Arabidopsis thaliana: one gene and its partner. The protein of the gene in region 1 interacts with the protein of each later gene in a pairwise test. Each region holds a gene or a part of one and is shown on either strand. Other genes may lie near its edges.

Region 1 (4,213 bases):
CCAAGAGGAGGAAAAGAACCGGCTGCGAGAGATGAGACGGTGGAAATCAACACGGCTATGGAAGAAGCAGCTGAATTTGGTGGTTATGCTCCGGGAATACTCTCGCCATCTCCGGCCTTGTTGCCAACAGCTTCTACCGGGATATTCTCTCCGATGTATCATCAAGGTGGGATGTTTTCGCCGGCTATACCACTGGGATTATTCTCGCCGGCGGGATTTATGAGCCCGTTTCGAAGTCCTGGCTTTACTAGTTTGGTAGCTTCACCAACTTTTGCTGATTTCTTTAGTCATATTTGGGATCAAGATTAGATTTTTTTTTGGTGTTTTGCTCTGTAATTTTTTTGTATTATGTATTTTGACATATCCAATGTAGTAGCCCAAAGGGTTTAAAATGAGCTTCATGTATAAAAAGATTAACTTTCAAAAATTTCAGACAGATTCCTAGAATGTAAAACTTGTCTGCAAACTAATATATACAGGAGTTACAAGATTCTCCTGACCTAAGATACTCTAATAAGTTTTGTGTTTTGAGAATAGGCTTCTTCATGAGGTTGTTGTAACAATGGAGTTCCAAGTTCCTCCTATCAATGTACCAACTCTCTCTCCTTTGATTGCTTTGGCGATGTTCCCAGGTTCCGAAAGATTGAATACCACAACTGCAAATTGACACAGAACTAAATAAGCATTCTTGTTGTATTTTAGATGATCATGTATGCATGTGGTCAAGGTTTGAGAGAGTGTTATAGAAAACAAGCCTGGGATGTTATTTTCTTGGCACAAAGTGATAGCAGTCATATCCATTACAGAGAGGTCCTTTGAGGTGACCTCTTGGTAAGTTAGTGAGTCAAGCAGACGAGCGTTTGGGTTTCTTTTAGGATCATCGTCGAACACGCCATCAACATTTGTTGCTTTCAGCACTACTTCTGCATTAACTGTGTCCAATGCGAAAAGTTTTTTTTTAGTGTTGCGAATAATCATTGGAGAAAACTTAAACGGAAACCACCTCTTTACTTACTTTCAGCACATCGAAGAGCCGCTGCAGTATCGGTGGTGAAAAATGGATTGCCTGTTCCAGCTGCAAATATTACAACCCTTCCTTTTTCTAGATGTCTGATTGCTCGTCTTCTTATGTAAGGCTCTGCGACTTCCGACATGCGGAAAGCAGTTTGAACACGGGTTGGGATGCCAATACTCTCCATTGTCGCTTGAAGAAATATTGCATTCATCACAGTTGCCAGCATCCTATCCAATTTCAGATAAACCAATGAGACCAAAAACCTCCAGTAGAGGAAAATTCTGGATCTTCTCCGAGTAAGAAGAAGAAGATCCTTTGACACAAAGGCGTATGATTACCCGATATAATCAGCAGAGGAGCGATCAAGGCCACTGCACCCAGCCCAGGTAGATCCACGAAAGATATTTCCTCCTCCAACAACTATAGCAACCTATTGTAAAGGCGTAAGAAGATCAGACAGAGCACACACAACATTGCAATGATTCTTAATGACCCAGACACATGATCTGTTGCCGTATAGTATGTTTAAATCATAACAAATTTCTAACTTTAAGTTGTGTAATGCCATATATCTCCACCCCTTAACTTAAGCTCCCGTTTCTTGTAAGTTTGAGCTAATTGATTTCCAGCATATTTGGTTACATCTACACAGGCAATTATCAAATACTTCGGGTATTATACTTATGTATAGGAAGAACTCAAAGCTGAATACATATCCACTAAAAAATTTTGAATCCAATTATCACAATGACAACTAGAACAAGAATGTTTGAATGAAGCGTTTAGAGAATAACCTCAATGCCAAGTCGAGTCACTGCTGCAACTTCCCTTGCAATCGCCATAGTAACCTAATTAACGGGAAACTGGATGAGACTTCTGAAGTAAGGAAACAGAGAACAAAGAAAGCAAAACAAGGAGGGTTCTTTTGGTATCACAATAAACCTTTGGGTCGATATTTTGCTCCTCGTCTCCAGCAAGAGCTTCTCCACTGACTTTGAGTAAAACCCTTCTCCATTTAAGCGGTGGTTTGGATGTTCCATCAAAGGAAGGCAGTCGTGGGAAAGATGATTGCCCGTTTAAGCTACTGAAAATTACAGATGATCGCAACAGAGTATTAACAAAATCAGCCAAAGTTCCAAACATTATAAATGGGTTAAGTTTTACTTCAACCAAAACAATAAAATCAGATTTGCAATATATTTTAATAAACTCTTAAACCCTAAACCCAGAAGTATCTTCATTGACAAATTTTCACAAACATCTGGTGGGCGTAAAGATTAAAACTTGAAGATTAATAATACCTCCCGTTCCCGTTCCCGTTTCCGTTCATGGAGTCTGGAGATGAACCATTGTCTGAGGACAAAGAAGAAGAGCAGCTGATAAGTACACGCCTACTGTAATTCTGGTTGGAGAAGAAAGTACGATTGCGAAGTGTAAGAGGGACGAAGGAGGTTCGGGAAATAGACGAAGAAGTTGAGATTGGGGAGCAAGAGGTAAGAGGCAACGGAATTGCCATTGCCGGAGAGATCTAAGAAGAGATTATTTACTGAAATATTCAGTAGAGAAGTGTCGCCGGCAAAGACGGGTTTTAAGTCTGAGAAGATAAGGTCTGGTTTCAATGTAATTTACTAATTAATCAAATGAATTGTTGTGATATTTAATGTGTATATATATATATATATATATATATATATATTTGAATTATATCCCCAATAATTCACTATATTTAATCTTATCTTATCATACAAAAACGAATAACTTTCATTAAATTCTGAATATATTTAGAAAATTTTGATATATGTCAAAATGTCTTTTAGAGTTTTAACATACGTTATACATATACTTCTATAAAAAATGTAATTTTTAATCAAATTTAATTGAACACCAATTTTAGTGCACTACATATAACAAATAGCTACAAATAGATAGATATTTTCTTATATCTAAATAATTCACACTATTTTATGTGTACTTATTATTGACCAATGGTTTTTTTTCTTTTTTTATAACAATTGATTAATAGGTTTGAAATAACTACATTTGCATCCTACAAGAGAAGTGAAGAACCACAAAGCATTCTTATTTTCGTTTCAATGACTTGAAAAATATGAGTTTTCTTACCAAGTTCAAGTTTTAAAAGTTTACTAATTGCAAATTTACAAGTAACATTGTTTTTGAAGAGTGAAACTAAATTCTTTGCTTTGCAACGACGTAAATTTTTGTAACACTAAAGCTCGATCTTTTAAATATTCCCGGGAAAAGTAAAAGTAACAAACACATATAAGAAGAAAAAAACACTGATAATGATCTTGAAATCTTTCATGGTATGAATAGTCAAGGATTATTCGTATTACAGTTTATTATAATGTTTAATTACTTGAATCCTTGTCTCTTTTCTTTGTCCTTGAAACCTTGCTTCAAAGATAAGCCACCACAACTCTTTTAACACTTTACTCATGTGCCTCTGTTCGAATAACGGAAAGATATGTTTTCTTTTACAGAAAAATTATAAAAGAACAATTTTACACTTAAACAAACACATACCACCACGTTTCTTGCGGGAGAAGCAACCGACAAATGGATACCGAGAAAGGTTATCCCAGAGGTTTCAGAGCAGAGAGTCTACGACCAGAAACGGGCCCCAGAAGCTTTCGGTTTGATAGTATGCAGATCGATGAAGCAGCCGATCTACAAAAAGACGAGATACGACAAGAGAACTCGACCTATCTTGTCCTCTTCAAGAACATAGACAGTGGAGAGTTGGAAGCCACGAAAGACTTCTTGGACCGAAACCCTGAAGCTTTAACCGCAATCTTAACCTCTAATGGAGACACTCCAATCCATAAAGCTGTTTTGTCGGGTCACATCAAGATCGTGGAAGAGATCATTAGAAGAATTCATGATCCAGAGCAAGTGTTAAAGATCAAGAACGATAATGGTTATACAGCGCTTACTTATGCTGCCACTGGTGGAATTGTAAGAATTGCAGAGTGTTTGGTGAATAAGTGTCCTGGTTTGGTCAGTGTTCGGAATGCGAAAGAGCATATACCGATCGTGGTGGCTTCATTGTACGGTCACAAACATTTGGTTCAGTATCTTTACAGTCACACACCTCTCAGTGATCTTGATCCTTGTGATGATTCAGATGAACACAAGGGCAAGAACGGAGCGATGCTCGTGACAAATTGTATTGTCGAT
Region 2 (3,799 bases), on another chromosome or scaffold:
TAACGGAATTGCCAAGTGGTAATCAGCAGTGACAACTATTCGTTAATCTGTAACATTCATATATATGTTTTTAATACAAACTCAAATAAACATTCATACATAAAAGATCCTGAAATACTTCGTACGATTGCCAAACAAAATCAACAACGATAAATATTACAAACGGTGTAGCATGTCCCTTAGCGCAAAATAAGGCCCAAGTTTGCAAACACACACGGTCACACATAAAAGGCTACAAAGTTCAAATCAGAGTTTTATTCAAATTCTCTCCGATGAATAAAGCAAATAATTTTTGTGTTTAAATTATACTCCGAAAATAAATAAACAAAAATAATTGAATCCCGGTTTGTTTTTTTCTTTCTTCTTGTCATTTTTATATACAAAGAGGCGGATCGTCCCATTACTCTCCCTGCTCCAATGTAAACCGAACCGGTTAACCACAATGCGTCTCGATCCCGAGTGTAGTACGTTGAAAATTCTAAAAGTAAAACGCACGGATTGTTGGTTTAGTGTTGAAACCGTTTTACGGTTTGTCAGGAACTTTATAAACCGGTTGGTTAATCAAACGACGTAACTTTTGTCTAAGAGCATCGGCCCAAACCAAGCCCACGTCTCTTTGCTTGTTCTTCATCTCCACCATCACTAGTTCATTTGTTAGCCGGCGAACTTTAACGACGACATTAGCTACTCCATGTGGACCTTCAAGCTTTATCGCTCTCTCCTTCTTCTTCGCGATTCTCAAATTTAACTGCTTCGCAACTTCCTCGACCTTCCTCATAATAACGGCCGTACTCTCATCGGATACAAACTGGTCGCAATGATCCGGCGTCACGAAATTTCCAAACAAACCGGAGAGATTCGAGCTCGACGCCGAAGAAATCAAATCGAACGCGTTTAGAATTTTACCGTTTTCTTCCAGATCGTAATCATCGGCTTGGATTCCGATGATTTCGCTTGGATCTACTCCATGATTGAACCACGGATCCTTTAGAATCTCCTCCACGGTGATTCGCAGTTCCGGATTTGGCTCCAAGAGACGGCGGAGGAGTTTCCGCAGATCTGAAGATGTCCAATCCGGTAACTTGTATTGAGCCTTGTGGATTTTCCGGTAGAGTCCCATGATGTTTGGATCACGAAACGGCAAGTAGCCTGCGTTGAGAAGAAACAAAACGACGCCGCATGACCAAATATCAGCTTTAGAACCGTCGTAGCCTTTCTTCAAAAGAAGCTCCGGTGCTACGTAAGCCGGAGTTCCACAGAGCGTATGTAGCATTCCGTCGGGGTGGATCTGCTCCTTCATCGCACTGAGACCGAAGTCTGAAACCTTCAGATCTCGATTCTCGTCGAGGAGGAGATTCTCCGGCTTCAAATCACGGTGGAAAACTCCTCTTGCGTGGCAGTATCTCACGGCGGAGATCAATTGCCGGAAATATTTCCGGCTAAGACTCTCTGTGAAACGGTTGCTGGTGACTCTTGAGAAGAGCTCACCACCTTTGGCTAGCTCCATGACGAAGTAGATCTTCGTCTTTGTGGCGAGGACTTCGGAGAGGAGCACGATATGAGGATGACGGAGGCGGCGCATGACAGATATTTCTCTCTTAACGTGCGCCGTTAAACCGTCTTTCAAACGTTTTTTTTGTACGACTTTGATCGCAACGCTTTCGCCGCCGTTTTGAAGATCCTCCGCTTGGTAGACTTTGGCAAACGCGCCGCTACCGAGGAGCTTACCGAGATCGTACTTACCGAACAAAGCCGACTTATTATCATCTCCGGTGACGTTAACAATGATTGATTCGGAAGAATTAGAGTCTTCGGCCATTAACAAACAAACAAAAAAAACAGAGCAAAAAAACAGAGTAAAGAGAAACAGTCTAGGAATTGTAAAAGACATGCGCGCGGTGCCTCTTCTTATTGAAATTCCTCAACTTGCCACGTAAGTAAGCTATTATTTTAAACAAAGATTTTAAAATAGTTTGACTTTATTATAAAATGCATTAAACAAATAAATGAAAGAAACAATCTTCACAAAAGACAATTTCAAAATGCGATAACATTTTCGATTTTTACTAATTTGAATTAGTTGCGATATATCAACCAGGTTAGAGATAGAGTCATTTTCTCCTGAAATAATTTACGATTCAAGGAATTTTCATGATTCTTTCCCCAATGTGTGGTTCATGTTGTTGTTACCAAACATCTGCCTTGTCAGGTCAACCAAAACCTTCTAATTCCAGGTGGGATTTAAAGTCTTAATTTATTTGTTTTTGTAGGAGCTGGGAAAACTCGACATATTTTTTTTTTTTAAACGTTCATCGTTGACAAAAATAAAAACTTTATCAAAAATAAAAAGAACGTCTATATAAAAATATTTGAATAATGTGAAAGAAAAAAACAACGTGGATTGACGTTACTTTGTATAGAATGCTAAGCAGTATACATGACGATGTTTTAAGCTTCTTTACCGGTTAAGATGGTACTTTAGTTCTGAGGATATGATTTGGTTCTTAAAACATAAGAATATATATTCATCAGGTAGAAGTGTACAACCAAATCAAGACAAGTGAACCGGACCAAATTTTATGTGAACTATATCTCGCAACATTGCATGTGCATGTAAAGATGTTTAGACACGAATGTTATATCGTGGGTACAAATCAACCATCCTTAATTCTGATGAAATTGTTGGTCTTTAACCGCATCCAACCGTAGCAACCCAATCAAACCAAGAACATTATCCAGTCAATAAATAACCTTTAAATTTGAGTGACAAAATAATAACATTTAAATTTGAATGTTGTTTGAAATTCAATGCCACATATAATAATTACTTTTTAATAGCTGGAAATTTTGTTATCTAAGGATTAATGATGGGCAAATTAAGTTTTTCTTATAATTAATTTGAAGTTGGATTCGTGGATCCAAGTCATTCGTGTGTGGATTAAAATCATACTAGTACCCCTTTTGTTGTTGAAAAAGCCAAAAAATTAATCCTTACACGTGAACTTGTTCAAAACATTATCATAAACCTGTAAATTTTTGACCAAAAACAAGAAACCTCTAAAAAAAGAATTAGGAAATATGCAAAAGCAAAAACTCGACAAAGTAAAACGAATAAAGAAAACAACTCTTGCTCATTCATTCATGTGTTCCAATATGTAGGTGTTAGCTTTCGTAACGGTATTTACTATCTATTTGCCTTTTAGTTTATTGACTTTATCTGAATGAAAATTAACACCTAACAGTCGGCAGTAATACCCAACCAAACTTCAAAAGTTATCTCGATTTTATCGTACGGTCACACAGTCATTTAGACTATGACATCCGGGCGTCATTGTGGAGTCATACCCAACCGGAAAAACCAACCATCGAATCATCACATCGAATATAATGCCCAACCGCCAAGTCAACTTATTTATGTGCTATATCGATCCATTTAAAAACATCAATTCTTTTGAAAAACAAATACATCACCATTGCTTTATTATTGAATATTGATCTTCTCATTGTTATCGTCATCAAGAATAAAGACATCTACTTCAAAGAGACACCGTCTTTACCACCGTGATGGTGTACGTCAGCCATCGACATCGTCCGTACACCCACCCTCACTCTTAATTTAAGACGTTTCTTCTTTCTCACGCATCGTCATATATTGTGTGATTTCTTTAAAAATGTTATTAAAAAAACTCTACGAAGCAAAGTTTGTAAAACCAACCGTCAGAAGATTTCTACGACATTTTGTCTTTGTTTACGAAAAGAATTTAACAAAAGCATAAAAAAAAAAATTGATGGTTTTATG

Evidence for each region. The genes of interacting proteins can lie anywhere in the genome.
Region 2: the proteins of AT3G18680 (region 1) and CIPK22 interact in a two-hybrid assay, tested with the Arabidopsis thaliana proteins (one large-scale study listed by BioGRID).

The regions. Positions count from the first base shown.
Region 1 is NC_003074.8:6,425,851-6,430,063, reverse strand, and holds AT3G18680 (Amino acid kinase family protein), read right to left. Parts: upstream 2,662-4,213; 5' UTR 2,532-2,661; coding exon 2,317-2,531; intron 2,100-2,316; coding exon 1,958-2,099; intron 1,864-1,957; coding exon 1,810-1,863; intron 1,446-1,809; coding exon 1,354-1,445; intron 1,243-1,353; coding exon 1,016-1,242; intron 933-1,015; coding exon 544-932; downstream 1-543. Other genes in the region: MKS1 (MAP kinase substrate 1), read left to right, coding at 1-309; AT3G18670 (Ankyrin repeat family protein), read left to right, coding at 3,593-4,213. UniProt on the Arabidopsis thaliana protein: Catalyzes the reversible phosphorylation of UMP to UDP. Required for specific post-transcriptional processes of many plastid transcripts (e.g.
Region 2 is NC_003071.7:16,113,386-16,117,184, forward strand, and holds CIPK22 (CBL-interacting Serine/Threonine-kinase), read right to left. Parts: upstream 1,820-3,799; coding exon 524-1,819; downstream 1-523.